5 linked regions of the Sus scrofa genome follow. The main gene of each other region encodes a partner of the protein of the gene in region 2 in a complex. Links are inferred from orthologs where the notes say so. Each region holds a gene or a part of one and is shown on either strand. Other genes may lie near its edges.

Region 1 (4,307 bases), on a different chromosome or scaffold from region 2:
ACCATTCTCCCTTGTTACTTTTGAGAGAGACATCTAATTGCAATAGTACATATAAATTTGGTAATACACAATTACATTTTTGCCATAGAGACTGGCATCTTTGAAGAATTTCAGCCAATCATATACAGCGTAAGATGGTCAGATGAAGTAAAAGTAGATAGTACCCACTGTTTGTGGTGAAACATAAAACAAGAGGTGGAGTGTAGGTTTTCATTACATGATATTTTTTTTAGTGACTGCACATGGAGGTCCTTGGGCCAGGAGAGTGAATCCAAGTCACAGCTGCGTCAGTGCCAGATCCTTTAACCCACTGTTCCTTAGTGGGAACTCCTTATTACATTAATTCTTTTAAAAACTTAAATCTAATAACACTAATTTTTAAAGTTTTGTTTTCCTTGAAAAATTTTTTGCCTTCTTACTAGATTGCTTTTTAGAGGTAATATATTTGTATATGTATTTGTGTGTTGATCTTAATAAAAATGATTTGCACTTCTTATGAATTTAAATTAGATGTTTTTATTTTCCTCTCCCAAAGTGAATTTTGTCTGATGTTAAATAATTGCTCTAAATTCGATTATAATTTTTAGGAGTTAGCAACTATTGTTAATTCACTAGGTGTATATACTATATACTCCTTCATTCGGGTAAACATTTTACTAAAAGTTAGGAGAGTGACATTTGTCTTGAAAATATTTAGAAATTTTTTGTAGGTACCACTTTTGAATTTTTGATCTTTCATTTTCAGTTTATATTTTTGAGTTAGCATCTCTAGCAACTATTACCTCTGTTTCGGTGATCTTTTGATGCCTGAGGAATACAGTGCCTAGTCATTTTGGATTTATTTCTCTGACCAGGTTAAGAAATAAGCTTCATTATGTTTCTGCCCTAATGTAAAAAAGAAAACTCTATTAAAGCATGCAAAAAATTGGAGAATTGAAGGACCTAGGAATCTAGAAAGTTGACAGTTGTTATTACTCTTCATTGGAGTAAATTTTAATAGAATATTGACTTAGGTTTGCACCTGTTAATCATCCTAAGATTATATGATGTATTCCCATCTTATGGCATAAGAATAAACTCCATAAACTGAATGAAGGGGGATTTGAAATTAAATGACTGAATCTGAATTAATTGGGTATTTCTAATACTAACAAATTGTTTATTTAAAAAAGGTAATGTCGATTAAGGGCTTAACTTTTTTGTCCACTCCATTTTTATTCACTATAAGTTTCTTCCTATGTGTGAGGTATGTGGCGAACAGTTTTAATAGGAGAGAGTAGAAGTGGGAGGGAAAAGTTTTTCATGCTTAATAATTTCTGTGTCAAACAAAGTATGTCTGGCAGTCTAGCCCTTCTTTGATGGTTAAGAGGAAGATCAGTTAGGACATTAAAAAAAAAAAGTTTTGGTTTTGTTTTCTTTGTATCATATTGGTATTTTTGGTACTGTTCATATATTTTACATGTTAGTAATTTTGATGGCTTTTGGATAATTCCACTCTAGAGGGAGAACTGGTGGGCGGTCCTTCCTGTGACACGACCCTTGAGTGACAGTTCTATTTGATTGCCTCCAGTACTGTGAGGAAAGGACACGACTCTATGGTGAGGACTGATGGACATACATTATCTGAGAAAAGAAACTACCAGGTAAGATCAATTTTATTTTGCTTTCTTCTGTTGGTCACGTAATTACATTGAACTGTTTAATATGTTGTATTTAGGAACCAGCAGATTGGATAGACCTCAACCTGAAAAATGTGGGTTATAATTTTTTAAATGATATATGTATATATATGGCTTAATAGTTGAAATAGTTTGGAACATTTTTCATAATAAAGCATACTTATAAGAAATGTGTATTCTTTTAGTGTCAGAACATAAATTTTCTCCTGTGTGTGTATATATGTCAAAACTTAGATTATCTGATGCACAATTTTTGACTTTGTGGCTGGATTCAGACCTAGTATTTCATAAAATAAAATATTGATTGCTTTTACACGTATGATTCCTGGAAGACTAAAACTGAAGTCTTAGATTATATTGAGGGTACTAGAGCGTTACAGAAATGTAGACAAAATTGGTTAGCATTTAGAAGAAATAGAAATGAAAATTCAGGGTGTTCAGAGACCCAGATTCTATTGAATTGTCATTGGCTTGCTGTTCTCATAATTTCTCATTTATTAAGTTAGTTTATAAATCCATTCCCTATGAAGTATGTAAGGATGCTAATACGATGGTTGAAGTGTAATATTTTTGTTTCTTTCTCAGCTTATAAAAGAAGGTGAATTTTAAAGATAGTGCTATTAAATAGTGATTTCAAAACCCATAATATTTGAATTTAGTTTTTTCAAAGACATTTGGCTTTATTCATTTGACAATAATTTAATATCAAATTATGTAGTGATTCAGAATACAGAATAGTTCATAGCTCAAGTAGGGGTAAGCTTCAGACTTCCTGCACAGGTACCTATCTAACCTCTCCCTCTTCCACTTACCAGTTTTATTCCCTCTAGGCTGTGAAGGCAACTAGTCTGATAGTAGATGCTTTTGTTAACTAACCATTTGTCTTTTAATTATTTATTTTGGCACAATTAGTCTTTTCTTCCCTCAGATTGGAAGAGTGAACAGTGAAGAAAATTGTAAATGGTGAAATAGTAAAGAACCTTTGAGCATAATACTTAGGTTCTGGTTTGGGCTCTGTCCTAATACAAAATACTGTCATATTTAACCTTTGTAGAATTTGACCTAATTTGATGTCTGAAGTTTCTCACCAGATTTTTATAATTTTAATAAATCAGAGTAAGCTATGACTATATAGAATCAGTTCTCTCTGTAACCTTTTCTGTTCTGAGTTGTTTTTATTGGCTCAAGTGACGTGGCCTTTGCTCATTACTTGTAGCTCCTGCCTCAAAACCGCTTCCATCTACCTTGACTCATAAGATTTTAATTGGTTACACTGCTTGGGCTATTATGTCTTTTGATAGAATCTGCTAAATTACTTTAAGAAATTGTGATTGTGCATTATGTGGCTTTTAAGTGTTTATAATCCAGTTAATAAAATGTAAGTATAGAACTTTTTTATGATCATATGGTATGGTTAATTGACTACAGAATCTAATAATAGAGAATTCCAAATTTTACACATTAGAAAGGAATAAAATGAGATATTTTACACATGAAGAGATTTCCTAATTTCTGTTCATTCTACTCTAAAAAAATTATTTGGAATCACACTATTTCAGTCACATTATTTATAAATAATCCAAGTGTTTTTGAGCTTACCTGAAAATGCATTCATTCTTGGTTAGGGTTTTTCTACCTGAAAATATTTTTCCTTTTCTTTTTTGTGTTATGTAGTTATGCATGTTGAAATATTCCTGAAAACTGTTCTTTAAATTTCCATTGTAAAATTATTTTATTTTTAAAAGCCTCCTCTGAAAAGTGAATGTATAGGAATATAATTTGCTGTCTGATAATTATGAACATATTAACAGCATATGGGAAATTTAAAGGAATATTAGATAAATTTCTAATATTTATATTGTTAGAAGTAGGATTTGTATATGCAGAGATGAAATGATTTGGGTTTTTAAAGATTTCATTTTGGAGGAATTTTGTTGTTTCTCATGAATAAAGTAGAATTTCTTTGTATCCGTGTATACTCATTTTACGTTTGAGGCCTTTTGTTTTTGGAGGGTGCTTGATGTCTTATAGTGATATTTAAACATTCTGATAGTATAGGCTAATATTCCGGAGTTAATAAGAATAATATTTTTCCAGTTCTTATTTCATTATGGACCTGATTAAAGACTTCAGAATTAATTTGGGAAGGTGCATTCCCTCAGCTTCCTGCTAAGAGCTGGTGACTTCAAATGGATGTTGGTTAAAGTATTAATTTTTCTACCATTATCTATTTCATGTTTTTTATTTCTTACTGTACGTTTAAGCCCAGTTAAGTTTTTTGCGTTTGAGTAGAGTAGTTGAAGTTTATTTGTGTATATAGACTGGTATGTTAGTCTGAACTAAATAGTTCAGACAAGTTAATTTAATTATATGAATGGTTTATAGTTCATTCTTTTTTGTAAGAATTGTAAAGCTTCTGCCAAGGGAATGTAACATCAGTTTTTGTTTAGAATTTTCTTATCTTCCTCTCATTTACACTGATTTATTCCAGCTATGAGCATGCATAAATCTAACCATATTAATTGCCAGATAACTTATCAGTGTTGTCTTTGTCTCTCTTACATAATAAAGACTAGCTCCTAAACATTACATATAAAATCTTGCCACATTCCTATGCCACATGCTTTT
Region 2 (3,516 bases):
ATCTGTAAAGCTTTTGATTTCTCCCTCTAATCTGAATGAGAGCCTTTTTGGATAAAGTAATCTTGGTTGGAGGTTTTTCCTTTCCTCATATTAAGTGTATTGTGCCACTCCCTTCTGGGTCTGCAGAGTTTCTTCTGAAAAATCTGATAACCTTATCGGCATTCCTTTGTGTATTATTTGTTTTTTTTCCCCTAGCTGGTTTCAATATTTTCTTCATCTTTAATTTTGGTCAGTTTGATTAATATGTGTCTCAGGGTGTTCCTCCATGTGTTTATTTTATATGGTACTCTGGGCTTCCTGGATTTGAGTGAGTGGTTCCTTTCCCATGCTAGGGAAATTTTCAGCTATTATCTCTTTGAATATTTTGTCCCTTTCTCTCTCTCTTCTCCTTCTGGCACCTCTATACTATGGATGTTGATGCATTTAACATTGTCCCAGAATTCTCTTAGACTATCTTCATTTCTTTTCATTTTCCTCTTTTCTGTTCCACATCAGTGATTTCCACTAGTCTGTCCTCCACCTCACTTATTCATCTTCTGCCTCCTGTATTCTGCTGTTGGTGGCTTCTAATGAATTTTTTATTTTAGTTATTGTATTTTGCATCTCTGCTTACTTAAGTTTTAAATCTTGTATTTGTTTGGTCACTGTTTGCTGTAAATTAACATTCTTTGCCTCTAGTTTATTTCCAATATCTTGCATCATCTTCAGCATCAACAGTTTAAAGTCTTTTTCCAGGCGGCTGAGAATCTCCAGATCACTTTGCTGTTTTTCTGGGTTTTTTTTTTTTTCCCTTGCTCCCTTATCTGAGTTATAGTTCTCTGCCTTTTCATTTTTATAGGTTTTTGGTGTGGTCTCTTTTGTACAGACAGAAGTGTTGTCGCCTCTCTTACTTCTGATGTCTTCCCCCCTTGTTGCTGAAGTTGGTAAGGGGCCTTTCTCTTGAGTCATTCTTGAATTGCTTTTTTTCCTCAGAATTACCTCAAACCCTGTGTGAATAAAATACAGCATAGATCACAGATATTCAGCCCCGTGTACTCTTCACCACCAAACATATTTCCTTTATCACCCCAAACTTCACATTGATGGATCTTAAGAACTTTCTTAGAGTAATTGTGGAAAGTGCTGGGTTATTTATCATATCCCATTTTACACTTTCATTAACTTTATTGGAACTTACTTGTATTTTGTAGACTTCTGAACAAGAAACTAAAGGTCTTCCGAGTAAAAAAGGAATTGTGCAGTCTATTGTTGGTCAAGGCTATCATCGTAAAATAGTTCTGGCATCACAGTCCATACAAAATACTGTATATAAGTAAGTATTTTGCCAAGAGAAAGTATATATATTTACTGCTATTTCATAATAATGTTATTTATTAAAATATGCTCAGGAATTATTTCATTGGACAAGCCACTTTGTAGCTAGGTTTTATTGCTACTTCAAGAAATAGACCTTTACGGAATTCCTGTCATGGCACAGTGGAAACGAATCCGACTAGGAACCATGAGGTTGCGGGTTCAATCCCTGGCCTCGGTCAGTGGGTTAAAGATCCGGCATTGCCATGAGCTGTGGTGTAGGTCGCAGACACGGCTCTGATTTGGCATTGCTGTGGCTCTGGCATAGGCTGGCAGCTATAGCTTTGATTAGATCCCTAGCCTGGGAACCTCCATATGCTGCAGGTGCAGCCCTAAACGGACCAACCCCCCTCCCCCCAAAAAAAAACCCAAACAAAAAATAGACCTCTGGGAGTTCCCATCATGGCTCAGCAGAAATGAATCTGACTAGTATCCATGAGGGCACAGGTTCAATCCCTGGCCTTACTCAGTGGGTTAAGGATCTGGCATTCATGAGCTGTGGCATAGGTCACAGACAAGGCTTGGATCCTGCATTGCTGCGGCTGTGGTGTAGGCCAGCGGCTACACCGCCAATTCGACTCCAGTTCGAACCTCCATATGCCACAGGTGCAGCCTAAAAAGATTAAAAAAAGAAGTAGACCTGTATACATAGGTCTGTAGTGAATGTTATTTGACATATGGTTTTGGTTTGTTATGTCCTTGGGTGCTGACATTGTTGATGCCGAGTCTGTTCAGTGCTATTATTCAGAATGTCCAGAAGAGGGCGTCTTGATGTTTCCTTTTTATATAGTTTGTCATTGGTACTTCTCATTTATTTTCTCATAGTCCCTAAAGCTAATTAACACATATATCCACAAAAATAATATAAGGTTTTCACATGTAGAACAACTTTTCAGTTGAATAACTTTTAAATGTGAGCATCCTTCTAAAAAGATTCCAATTTGGGGTTGCTATTAATTCTAAAGTAGTAGGCTTTGTCAAAAAAAAAAAAAGTCACTCCTTTTTTTTCTTTTCCAAAAAATAAAATTGTTCACTACCATTTAAAAGTTTTTCCCAAAAGTTTTTAAAAGTATGTGGCATACAACATTTTGCTCTTAATTTATTTCAACAATAATGAAGATTTCTTTCTTTCTTTTCTTTTTCTTTCTTTTATAGTCACATGTTTGGCACATGGAAGTTCCTGGAGCTAGGGGTCAAATCTGAGCCTCAGTTGGGAGCCTACAACACAGCCACAGCAACTCAGGATCCCAGCTGTATCTTGGACCTATTCCGAAGCCTGTGGCAACACAGGATCCTTAACCCACTGAGCAAAGCCAGGGATCAAACCCACATACTTGTGGATACTAGTCAGGTATCCACAACAGGAACTCTCAGATTTCTTTTGAAAGACAAGTTAAAGCATTGGTTTCCTACAATTTCAAAACTGTTACTACTTTTCACTTTTCTTCCTTCTAGTAAAGCTGGCTCAGTTTATTATATAAAACCAATAGAAAGTTATATAAAATCTCAACAAAGTAATAAGATATAACACTGCTTTTTCAAAACGTGTAAATGAGGCATTTTCAAAAGCAAGTATCAACCAAAACAAGGCTCAAATGTAAAAAATCTACTTTCTTCCTTTCTTTCCGGTTCTTATTGTACCTGTCCTGGCCTTCATTCAGTTTTCCTTGTCTCTAAATCCTTTTTTAGATTGACACTGACATTGCAGATTTCCTTCAGGTTGTCTCCTAGCCTTGGTCCTGTTCCTTTAGACACAGTGTGGTGTGTAATGTATATACTTGAAATTTTATTTATACTTTTTGCATCTTATATACAGACAAACCTCCTTTTATTGCACTTTGCAGATGTTGCATTTTTGGTTTTCTTGTTTTTCTTTTTACAAACTGAAGGTTTTTGTGGCAGCCCTGAGTAGAGCACGTCTGTTGGTGCCATTTTACTGACAGCAATTGCTAACTTTGGGTTCTGTGTCACTCACTGGTCATTCTTGCAATATTTCAATTTTTTCATTATTATTTTTTCATGATCGCACCTGCTGCACATGGATTTTCCCAGGCGAGGGGTTGAATTCAAGCTGCAGCTACAACCCACTGCATTGAGCCAGGGGTTGAACCCAAGCCTCCACAGCAGTCCAAGCCTCTGCAATCAGATTCTTTTTTTTTTTTT
Region 3 (3,516 bases), on a different chromosome or scaffold from region 2:
TGTTTATCGGGGCCATTTGAAAGGCTCATCGTTAGAGGAGGCATCTCCTTTTTATTTAAGATAGAATGTAGTTTCACTCAGTCACATCAGATGCTTCGCATTTGGTCTTCTTCCTGGTACTGCTGAGAGCCTGGGAGTTGGACCCAGGCCCTCACCCCTGTGGCTGCGGCTCCATTTGGCAGCATTAAAGTGGCTGCTGAGACCAAAAACCCCTGATAGGAATGTGTCTGTTACTTTGTGGTGGTAATGGCTGGTGAGTAGAAGACACTTTTTTTCCCCAAACCCAGTTAAATTTATTTAACTTGTGAACCGCTAATGAAATTGATAGTATAGATTAAAATCTTACCATTGGATTGTTCTGAATGATTATTATTTACTGTATGAACATTTTTCCACAATACTTAATGACCATTATATTTAAATTGTATTTTCACTCCATATATGCAAAGCTTTGGAATTAAACGCCAATCTTCTCTCTCGTTACTGACATTACAGTTTTAGATGTAAATGGGAGAAAATCAGTTTGAAGTATGACACTTTTGAATGTTGTCTTTCTTTTTCTCCTGCCAGGGAGGACATGTATGCCCAAGACTCTATAGAGCTACTGACAACATCTGGTATCCAGTTTAAAAAACATGAGGAGGAAGGAATTGAAACCCAGTACTTTGCAGAACTTCTTATGACTTCAGGAGTAGTCCTCTGTGAAGGGGTCAAATGGTTATCATTTCATAGGTAAAAAGATTGCCTTGAAAGTGGCATTTGTGTTACCATTTCCTGATTGCTTCACACTTGGTTTGGGTCACTCTGTCAGCAATTTCAGGCTTAGTTCTACAAAGTATTGGCTGCCATATAGCAGTCTCTTAACTCTCCAAGCTAATTGAAAAGTTAATTTAATGATATGGGATCCATTTTAGGCTGTCAAAGAGATAGTATTGCATAGTCGAAAGAGGGCAGGCTGGAAAAGTAGACCTGGTTTAAGTTCAGCAATCCCAGAGTTCCCTTCGTGGCTCAGCAGTAATGAGCCCAAGTAGTATTCATGAGGATGCCAGTTCAATCCCAAGCCTTGCTCAGTGGGTTAAGGATCCAGCATTTCCGTGAGCTGTGGTGTAGGTCGCAGATGTGGCTCAGATCCCAAGTGGCTGTGACTGTGGTGTAGGCCAGCAGCTGCAGCTCCGATTTGACCCCTAGCCTTGGAACTACCATATACCACTGGTATGTGGAAAAATATATATTTTTTGGTGAGGTGAGGGCCTGGGTCCAAAATCAGTCGATCGATCCATCCCTCCATCCAGCAGTGCCATTTGGAATCTGTGTTACCTAGGGTTATTTAACATTTCTAAGCCTTAGAATGGAAACATTTATTCATTTTAAAAGTATTTATTTGTTATCCTTCATATGCCAAGCACTATGATAATATTCTAGGAATTAAGCTATGAACAAAATAGACTAAAATTTTGATTTCATGGAGTTCACATTCTGGTGGGAGTAGACAGACAAGTTTTTTAAATGATGAACGTATATTTTAGTTTGTTAGGTGGTGGTAAATGCTATGGAAAAAAATTGATAAAGAGAAAGCTAGAGGTGTGTGTGGTGGATTTTAATTTTTTTAAATAGGATATTAGGAAGAAATACTTAGAATTAGCTTAAATTGTTTTAATGATCAGTAGTGACATATTTAAAGCATCTAGTAAAGTGCTCTACACACAGTAAATTCTCAATAAATGGTAGTTTTTAATTCTTATCATACAATTAGGTTGTTGAGAATTTCTGGAAAGGAAATTCTATTTTGTATAAACAGACTTTTAGCTAAGAGAAAGAGTTTTCCTATCTAAGTAAACTACATTAAACTGGCAACTCAGGGACTAAAAGTGCTTCGGGAATGATTTTATTTGGCCTTTTGTTATGTTTTTAAAATGCATTGAATTATGCAGGTATTAATATTCTCACACTTGGTCTACTTTAGCATTTAAAAAAAAAAAAGTTTCTGCATGCTGTGTATTTCCAGCACTGGCCTCAGTAATAAAAGACTAGTGAAGGACTGTTCATACCGTCAACCTCAGCGTAGTACTAAGCAGTCATTTTTGAGCTGGAGTATTGAACTTACTCATATCCACCTATCTTTTTTTCTCTGTTTTCCTTCACTTGAGTCTGTACCTCAGGAAATGAGGCTTAAGTCTCTGGTAATTTGAGGGATGTTTTTTGAGTTCTTTTTTCACTTCCCTAGTCTTGAAGATGCAAAAGAACTGGAAAGCATTGTCCTCTTTTTAACTATGTATGATAGTTCTTTCATTCAAAAAATAGTCTGAGGCATTACTTTGTTTTAGGCATTGGAATATTAAGATGAATAAAAACAGGGAGTTCCCTGGTGGTCTAATGGTTGGATTCAGCAGCCTGGGTTCAATCCCTGGTCTGGGAACTGAGATTCCACTTAAGGATGCCTGTCATGGCCAAAAAAAAATTTTTCAATTTTTTTATAAAAGATGAACAAAAACAGGGGTCATGTCTTGAATCTAGGTTTGACTATTTGAGTATTGTCAAGATATGTAAGATTTCATTCTCCTAAATGTCATTAAATATTTTCTTCATAGTCTTATTTCTAGTAGATAAGGACTTAAGAAATTTATAAATACTAAATTCTAAAACAACTTGTTTTTACCTAGTAGTAAGCAATATATTGACTTGTATTTTAGGTAGATAAAGAAGTTACTTTCTTGTCAACTGCCAGAAATTTAAAGGTTTCTAGCGTTTGTTTATACCTTGATATTCCTTAATGGTCTTCAGTATTAAAAATTTGTTTTTCTCCGTGTTAAGAAGTATAATTCTAAACCTTGAATAGAAATTTATTTGTAATCTTCCTTTAAAAGATATCTTAGTAGCATCTGTCATCAAATATTTGAGTCCTAACTAAATGGAAAGTTTTTTTAAGATGTGATACCTCCCTTTAAACGCATGGAGAAAACAATACCTACGCTTTAAAGGGTGATAAAAAAGAACTTGTCTGAGAACTCTGTGGGAGCTGAGCTCTTTAGGGAAGGCTTCGGATAGAGGTCCTTAAAGGTAGACAGGGAGAAGGAGGTGCGATTGTGGGGGAAATGTGGGGCGATATAAACCTGTGGCGAAAGCTAAACAACAGGAAGAGGAGATCTTGAGAGTGGGGAGTTTTTTATTCTCTAGTTAGTAGTTCTCAGCTTTTGCTACCTTCCTTCTTTCATGAGCAGCATTCCTATCTCTTGGGGATTGAGATAGGAACAGAATTTTGAGTGAAGAGAGTACTTATTAATAAAATCACTTAAGGGAAGTGAAAATACTTTGTTAAGAATTACACTCTGGATTTTTGAAGTATGTGACCTCTTTATATAAAAAATGGGAGGATATGCATTAATTTTTGCCTTCTAAATGCCAATTCTCTATCTTTTGGCTTTTTTCCAAGTTTCCATTCATCTTTAATTTTTCAGATGTTTGCTGTGGACAGCTTGATACCCCTTAGAAAGTTCTCTATTTAAGGATTACAGAATG
Region 4 (2,884 bases), on a different chromosome or scaffold from region 2:
CAACGCCAAATCCGGGCCACATCTGCAACCTACACCACAGCTCACAGCAGTGCTGGATCCTTAACCCACTGAGCAAGGCCAGGGATCAAATATGCGTCCTCATGGATACTAGTCAGGTTTGTTACTGCTCAGCCATAATGGGAACTCTGATTTATTCTTAAATTATGAAAACATTTCGGGAATACCTATTCTGTAGTTTATAAGGTGATGGTAATGTTGCCCACTACTTCTGTTACCTTATCCACCAGCTGAGACAGGCACACCTTCTTTTTCAGAGAGGACATGTACTCCCAGGATTCCATAGATCTCCTTGCTAACTCAGGACTCCAGTTTCAGAAGCATGAAGAGGAAGGGATTGACACGTTGCACTTTGCAGAGCTGCTTATGACATCAGGGGTGGTTCTCTGTGACAACGTCAAGTGGCTTTCATTTCACAGGTCAGTCTCCGAGGATGTTTCTCTCTTGCTTTGGAAGCAGGGAATTGCGTTATGTTATTTTTGGAGTCCTCTTGGCTCTCTTTTGTTGCTCACTAGCAGTTATAAAGTTGAAATGGTATTGGTTGCTCATATTTCAGTTTTGCAAAAAACACTTTGGGGCTCATATTGGTTTGAGTAATAGGCTCTACCACATGCCTATACAGTGGATGTACGCCAAGTGGAAAGAAGGAGGATGAGGAGGGTGGAAGCATTTGGTTGTCTTTTTCTTGTCTTTTAAATGGCTGGCCTCGAGTTTCCTAGGTACTCAAAAACCAGATTCCCCTTAGGAATAACCTTAGGAGAGGTTATTTTATCTTTCAGTACTTGTGAATTTTTGATGAATAAAGCCCACATTTATAAACCCTTCAGTTCTCTTATATGTCGTCCACATTACTCTGTTATGTTATTATTTAGTGGAACGTTTAGAGTACAGGATAAGCTACTTTGGAAAATGTAAAGTTCCTAACATGAGGCCGTATGGGAAACCGAGCAATAAAGCATTTGAACCTGGGGCCTGATGACTGCTGCGTTCACCTCATTGCCTCACTCTCTCCTTGTAGTGGCTATGACTTTGGCTACATGGTAAAGTTACTTACAGATTCTCGCCTGCCAGAAGAGGAACATGAATTCTTTCATATTCTGAACCTTTTCTTCCCATCCATTTATGATGTGAAATACCTGATGAAGAGTTGCAAAAATCTTAAGGTACATGATATTTTTTTTCCCACAATATATTTCTTAATAATAATAACAACAACAACAAGACAAAAAAAGCAGACGTGTAATTTTGCTTTATTGTGGTTTGTTCAGCATGCGTCCTTGAGTACATGCTAGGTGCCAGCACTGTACTAGACAAGGGTGTATTGGCACCCTGACTGACTGGCACCGGGATTTGTGTGTTAACTGTCTTTAACCTGGGCAGGAAGGGACCCCTCTGCTTCTCTCACCCTAAGGCAGGCATTCTTCACTAAGGGCCCATGAACCTAGTGAAACCCTTAGCGACATGAAGTATATATAACAATGATTCATAGGGATGGGGTCTACTGTGTACCAGACTCTCAGAAGGGTTCTTAGCCCTAGATGATTTAAGAACTCCCTTCCCTAATGAGAGGCTTGCTGTCTAGAATTAGACTGGCGTTTACTATTCCCTTGACCTTGTTTTGTAGCAGTGGGGATTTTCAGGGGCAGAGGTCTGACAAAATTATAGATATAGAAACAAAATTAAAGAAATAGAAAACAAAGACGGGAAAAGTGGAATAGAATACAGTGTATCCTTTGGAGCGCTAAGAAGGGGGGTACTGCTGGGGTAAGCCTGGTAAGTAAATGGCCTGTTCCTACTTCTCATCACCAAATGTAGTAAGTCAGGAGTGGACATAGTTGACTCCAGTAGAGGAGTCAAGACTGTGACACTAACTTTGTTTTCCTTACATTTCCAGGGAGGTCTTCAGGAAGTTGCCGATCAGTTGGATTTGCAGAGAATTGGGAGGCAGCACCAGGCAGGCTCAGACTCGCTGCTGACGGGAATGGCATTCTTCAGGATGAAAGAGGTGAGGCAGAGAGGCTTTGGGGGCTGAGGTTTGTTGAAAATTTATAGTTTCTCATAGAAGTTGATGACTACCTTGAAGGCAGTATTTTTTTTTTTTTTGGTTTGTTCATTATGCATATGTTCAGTACCTTAAGTGTGATTTGGGAGGAAAGAAGCATTTTGAAATGGAGGCTACTCAATACGCTCAAGGCTAGATGTATACTTGCTGTTCCTAGCAGCTCTAATCCTTGCAGTGATTTGCTTTTATTCCAATTTCTATAATATGAACACATGTCAAACCACCCACTTATTTTATGCAAAGTTCTGTTAATTATCAAATGTCCCACGGCTAACATCTCAAACTCAGTGGTGAAGAATTGAAAGCTTTTCCTTTAGGATCAGGAACAAGACAAGGATGCCCACTCACTACTTTTTATTCAACATGCTCTTAGCCGGAGCAGTTAGGCCAAAAAAAAAAAAAAAGAAAGAAAAGAAAAAGGAAATACAAGGATCCAAATCAGAAAGGAGGAAAAACTATGACTCTTTTCAGATGACATAATAATATGTATAGAAAACCCTAAAAACTCCACCAAAAAAATTGTTAGAACTAATAAATGAATCCAGTAAAATTGCAGAATACAAAATTAATGTACAAAAATCTGTTGTGTTTCTGTATCCTAATGGTGAACGGCATACTATCAGAATGAGAAATTATGAAAACAGTCCCATTTTATAGTTGCGTCAAAAAGAATAAAATAACCTTGGAATAAATTTTACCAAGGAGGTGAAAGACTTGCATACTGAAAACTCTAAGACAGTGATGAAAGAAACTGAAGAAGACACAAATAAATGGAAAGATATTCCAGGTCCATGGATTGGAAGA
Region 5 (4,220 bases), on a different chromosome or scaffold from region 2:
AAATCAGAGCTGCAGCTGCTGGCCTACACCACAGCCACAGCCACAGCCACAGCAACGTGGGAGCTGAACTTCGTCTGTGACCTACACCACAGCTCACAGAAACACTGGATCCTTAACCCCTGAGGGAAGCCAGGGATGGAATACGCAACCTCATGGTTCCTAGTAGAATTTGTTTCCGCTGCGCCACAACACTGAGCTGCTATCATTTTTTTCAGCATAGACTGGATTTCTGCAACTGGCCTGGTGGGAATTGCTAGTTGAAATCCTTGTAGGGTTTTGTAGGTCTAGGGAGGAACCTTGCAAGTCTGGGACCAGCCACTTGGTGGGTCCCAGCCTGGAGTGCACACTAGTCACCTGGGCAGATGTTTTTGCTTTTTAAAAATTTTACTAGGGCTGCACCTGTGGCGTATGTAGGTTCCCAGGCTAGGGGTCGAATCCGAGCTGTAGCTGCTGGCCTATGCCACGGCCACAGCAACATCAGATCCGAGCCACATTTGTGACCTACACCACAGCTCACGGCAACCCTGGATCCTTAACCCAGGGATTAAGGATCGAGGCCAGGGATTGAACCAGCATCCTAATGGATGCTAGTCAGATTCGTTTCCCCTGAGCCAGGACAGGACCTCTGTTTTTGCTTTTTGTTTGTTCATACCTGGCCATTAGGGCCAGGATTTGTAAAGGATTCCTGGAAACTTCCAGTGCACAGCTAAGGCCCAGAATGAGCGACCTAGGGCAGACTAGGTAAGAAGTTGCAAAGCAGGAGTTCCCTCGCGGTGCAGTGGGTTAAGGATCAGGCGTGGAGTAGGTTTGGTTCCTGGCTTGGGAATTTTTGTTTGCCACAGCGCAGCCAAAGAAAAAGTTGCACAACAATTTTGTATATAAATGTTTATTGTTAAGTTTCCAGAGATCTTGTTAAAATAGCCATGTACATGTGCAGTATGATTCCATTTCTTTAAAAAGGAGTGTAAGTCTAAAAATTAACTTTGCTTATGAGAAACATGTTATCCTTATCTGCACTTAAAGTTTTAGCATGACCATCCATGTGTGTTATATTAAAAAAGATTTCATATTCTAACATGCATTTTTCCAAACAAATAACACCGTCCTTTATTGAGACCGTTCGTTCCCGCACTGCCCAGGGGGGTCCTGGGGGCTGAACTCTTGAAGGAGGACAGGCAGACTATGCCGCAGCGGGGGGGCTATGGCACCGCTTGACTCCCACAGCGCGAGACCCGGCCGGGCCCCTCCCTCAGGCCCCGCCCCCATTTCCGGCGCTTTGCCCCGCCCACCCAGCGTCTGGGGATCTTCTCCCTGGCCCGGCACCAGCAGCCTCGCTCTGGCTCCGCGCTGCCCTTTCCGCGGCCGGCTGGTTTCTCGGTGTGTTTTGTTTGCGACGCTGTCGTGCAACAGCGCGCTTTACGGCCGCAGGGACGGAGCGAGCCGGCGCCAGGGCCACTCTGGCCGGGGAGCAGGGCGGGCGGGTGAGGTTGATGCCCGGCGGCGGGGCGAGCGCGGCGTCTGGCCGGCTTTTCACCGCCGCAGAGCAAAGAGGGACCCGGGAAGGGGCGGGGTCGGCGTCCAGGTGCGGCCCGGGGGTCTCCGGCTCCGGCAGCGGCAGAGGCGGAGCGGGCGTCCCCGGGCCGGGGAGTGGAGGCCCGGGGGGCCCTGCGGGCAGGATGAGCCTGACCCCGAAGGAACTCTCGAGCCTGCTGAGCATTATCTCGGAGGAGGCGGGCGGCGGCAGCACCTTCGAGGGCCTGTCTACCGCATTCCACCACTACTTCAGCAAGGCCGACCACTTCCGCCTGGGCTCGGTGCTGGTCATGCTGCTGCAGCAGCCAGACCTGCTGCCCAGCGCGGCGCAGCGCCTCACGGCGCTCTATTTGCTCTGGGAGATGTACCGCACCGAACCGCTCGCCGCCAACCCCTTCGCCGCCAGCTTCGCGCATCTGCTCAACCCCGCGCCGCCCGCCCGCGGCGGCCAGGAACCCGACCGGCCGCCGCTCTCAGGTACGCCCGGGGCCAGGTGTGCGTCGCCGAGGGTGAGATTGGCAGCTTCTCGGCCTTCACCCGCACTTGAAACTGATTGTTGCCTTTTGAGATTCCCTACCCCCCACCCCTTCCACCAAGTATGAAGAAGTAACAGCTTCATGGCGCCGAAAATTATCCCTCCCAACAATGCAGGTGGTCCAATCACGCAGCGTAATATGGGGCTTGATGGTTTAGCGCCTCAGATAAAATTTGTTCTCGTCAAGCCCGTCGGAGGTGTGTGAAGTTGTAAGTAATGACACACTGGATCTGCCCCCGGCTTTTAGTCTCAGACGAGTCAATTAGGAGTCATTCAGAACCTGAGGAAGTTGAGCGGAAACACATTTAACAGCGTTTAAGGACATCACAGCCACCTTCTTCTTGCTGTTAGGTCTTTGGGTAATGCGATGGGGGCGGAGGAGAGAAAGTCTCAAATTCACGGCCTAGGTTAGAAAACCCAAGGCTGTTGGACATGATGTGAAAGTTATGCTCGGTCAACTTCCGTGAAGATCGGTGGGTTTGATAGGAGGCTGCCTTTTTAAAAAAAAAAAAAAAACTCCAGAGATGCTTTATGAGACTTGAATTTGGGAGAAGACCTAAACCGGGCGAGGGGAAAGGCCCAGAAGAGATGGTGGTGAGGGTACCTGGAAGACTTAGTCAAGGACCAGTGTAGGGGGTGAGGCAGGTAGAGAGGTGGGAAGCAGCTTGATGGTAGGGTCCTTCAGCGGTGGTAAGACAGGCAGATCACTCCTTAGGTAGGGGGCTGCTATATAGGGAGCCAAGAGGTAAAGGCAGCCGGTTTTGAGTAAATACCAGAGGATTTCCTTGCAGGTGAGGGCTTCCACATTTTAAGATGGTCGTTTTTCCCGCTGCCCACTCCTCTGGATCTTAAGCATCTTCTGGTTGGTTTCCTGCACTGCCCTTGACCTAAGAGGAGTAACCTTTGTATTCCTTGAGGTGTCTGTGGGGTGGGGTGGGGAATGGTACTAAACCTGACTTTCAGGGAGTTTAAGAATGCCCAGAAAGTGGTTTTAATGTGTGTATTCGTCAAACCCACCACCCAAGATGGATGGGGGACAGTTTGGGATTTGGGTTGGGCGCTTTGAATTCTGTAGTCTGGGGTCAAGCCAAGGAACCGTAACCGTCATTCTCAATTGTGATGATTCCAAACCTAGATCTAGGCCGTAGACTGTGTTGTAAACACAAATCTGCCAGGGAAGGAATTCATGGGATTGGTTATTTTGCTGCTGTGCCTCATTTTCCTCATCCGTAAATTGCAGATAATTCTTAGCTGGTAGAGTTAGTATGAGGGGTAAGGGTATCTGCGGTAAGTGTTGTCCATTATTATCATTACTAGGTAGGGATGGTGCTTAAATACCCAACAGGGGGACTGCTGCTGCAGGCTTATTATATTTCACCTCAGGGGGAGCACCTAATGAGTATATGTTTTGAAAGTTTTTCAGATGATTCTGATGCAGAGCCAAGGTTGAGAATGTACCTGGAAGTAAGTAGGATGGCTTCCTTGCACTCTGTCAGGTTGAGACCAGACATAACTGTAGCCCCATGTGGTTAAGGCTGTACCAGATGTCTCACCCACAGGGCCTCAAGGCCCAGGAGCTCGTGTCTGTGCAGCTGGAGAGGCTTTACGAGGGAGCGATGTTTTTGCTGGATATTGATGGTGGGGAGAGAAGCACGTGGTCCTCTCAGGTATTTTTAAGGAGTTGGGTGTATTGGGTGTTTTGAAATAGGAATCAGGGAAGCTGAAAGATTTTGTGCACCTGAATCGTGGAACTCACAGATGGAGAGAAGTTCAGGAGATGAGATGAGGAAAGTGGGTTGGGACCAGATTACGAAAGTCCTACACTGGTGCCAACGTTTGAGTTTAATTCTCTGTAAATAGGTTAAGTATTGTGAGCAGATTTGTACCTAGAAATATAACCAAATGGTAAGTGGGGGTGTGGACTGTGGGTGGTGAATAGTCTGGCCACCCCTCTGCCTGAGAGGGAGGGAGGACAGACGGATGAGGCCCGGTGAGCAGGTGACTGTGGCAAGGGAGGGCCGCTGGGCTTGGCGCTGTGGGAATTGTAGCCGAGCTGTGTGTAGAAGCAGGTGTGTGGAGTAGTGTCTTTGGAACTTGTGATGCTTCCTCATCTTTCCAGCTTTAATGCAGTTGCTAGTAGCAGCAGAGAAGT

Evidence for each region.
Region 1: CNOT10 (region 2) and CNOT2 share a complex: the UniProt entries of both Homo sapiens proteins name them as parts of the CCR4-NOT complex. The link is inferred for Sus scrofa from reciprocal best matches to the Homo sapiens genes CNOT10 and CNOT2.
Region 3: CNOT10 (region 2) and CNOT7 share a complex: the UniProt entries of both Homo sapiens proteins name them as parts of the CCR4-NOT complex. The link is inferred for Sus scrofa from reciprocal best matches to the Homo sapiens genes CNOT10 and CNOT7.
Region 4: CNOT10 (region 2) and CNOT8 share a complex: the UniProt entries of both Homo sapiens proteins name them as parts of the CCR4-NOT complex. The link is inferred for Sus scrofa from reciprocal best matches to the Homo sapiens genes CNOT10 and CNOT8.
Region 5: CNOT10 (region 2) and CNOT11 share a complex: the UniProt entries of both Homo sapiens proteins name them as parts of the CCR4-NOT complex. The link is inferred for Sus scrofa from reciprocal best matches to the Homo sapiens genes CNOT10 and CNOT11.

Annotation. Positions count from the first base shown.
Region 1 is NC_010447.5:34,469,411-34,473,717, forward strand, and holds the start of CNOT2 (CCR4-NOT transcription complex subunit 2), read left to right. Parts: upstream 1-1,500; 5' UTR 1,501-1,595; coding exon 1,596-1,643; intron 1,644-4,307. UniProt on the Homo sapiens protein: Component of the CCR4-NOT complex which is one of the major cellular mRNA deadenylases and is linked to various cellular processes including bulk mRNA degradation, miRNA-mediated repression, translational repression during translational initiation and general transcription regulation.
Region 2 is NC_010455.5:18,695,938-18,699,453, forward strand, and holds part of CNOT10 (CCR4-NOT transcription complex subunit 10), read left to right. Parts: intron 1-1,190; coding exon 1,191-1,312; intron 1,313-3,516. UniProt on the Homo sapiens protein: Component of the CCR4-NOT complex which is one of the major cellular mRNA deadenylases and is linked to various cellular processes including bulk mRNA degradation, miRNA-mediated repression, translational repression during translational initiation and general transcription regulation.
Region 3 is NC_010459.5:4,940,088-4,943,603, reverse strand, and holds part of CNOT7 (CCR4-NOT transcription complex subunit 7), read left to right. Parts: intron 1-570; coding exon 571-732; intron 733-3,516. UniProt on the Homo sapiens protein: Has 3'-5' poly(A) exoribonuclease activity for synthetic poly(A) RNA substrate. Its function seems to be partially redundant with that of CNOT8.
Region 4 is NC_010458.4:68,332,148-68,335,031, reverse strand, and holds part of CNOT8 (CCR4-NOT transcription complex subunit 8), read left to right. Parts: intron 1-275; coding exon 276-437; intron 438-1,036; coding exon 1,037-1,181; intron 1,182-1,912; coding exon 1,913-2,023; intron 2,024-2,884. UniProt on the Homo sapiens protein: Has 3'-5' poly(A) exoribonuclease activity for synthetic poly(A) RNA substrate. Its function seems to be partially redundant with that of CNOT7.
Region 5 is NC_010445.4:53,078,513-53,082,732, reverse strand, and holds the start of CNOT11 (CCR4-NOT transcription complex subunit 11), read left to right. Parts: upstream 1-1,417; 5' UTR 1,418-1,490; coding exon 1,491-2,010; intron 2,011-4,220. UniProt on the Homo sapiens protein: Component of the CCR4-NOT complex which is one of the major cellular mRNA deadenylases and is linked to various cellular processes including bulk mRNA degradation, miRNA-mediated repression, translational repression during translational initiation and general transcription regulation.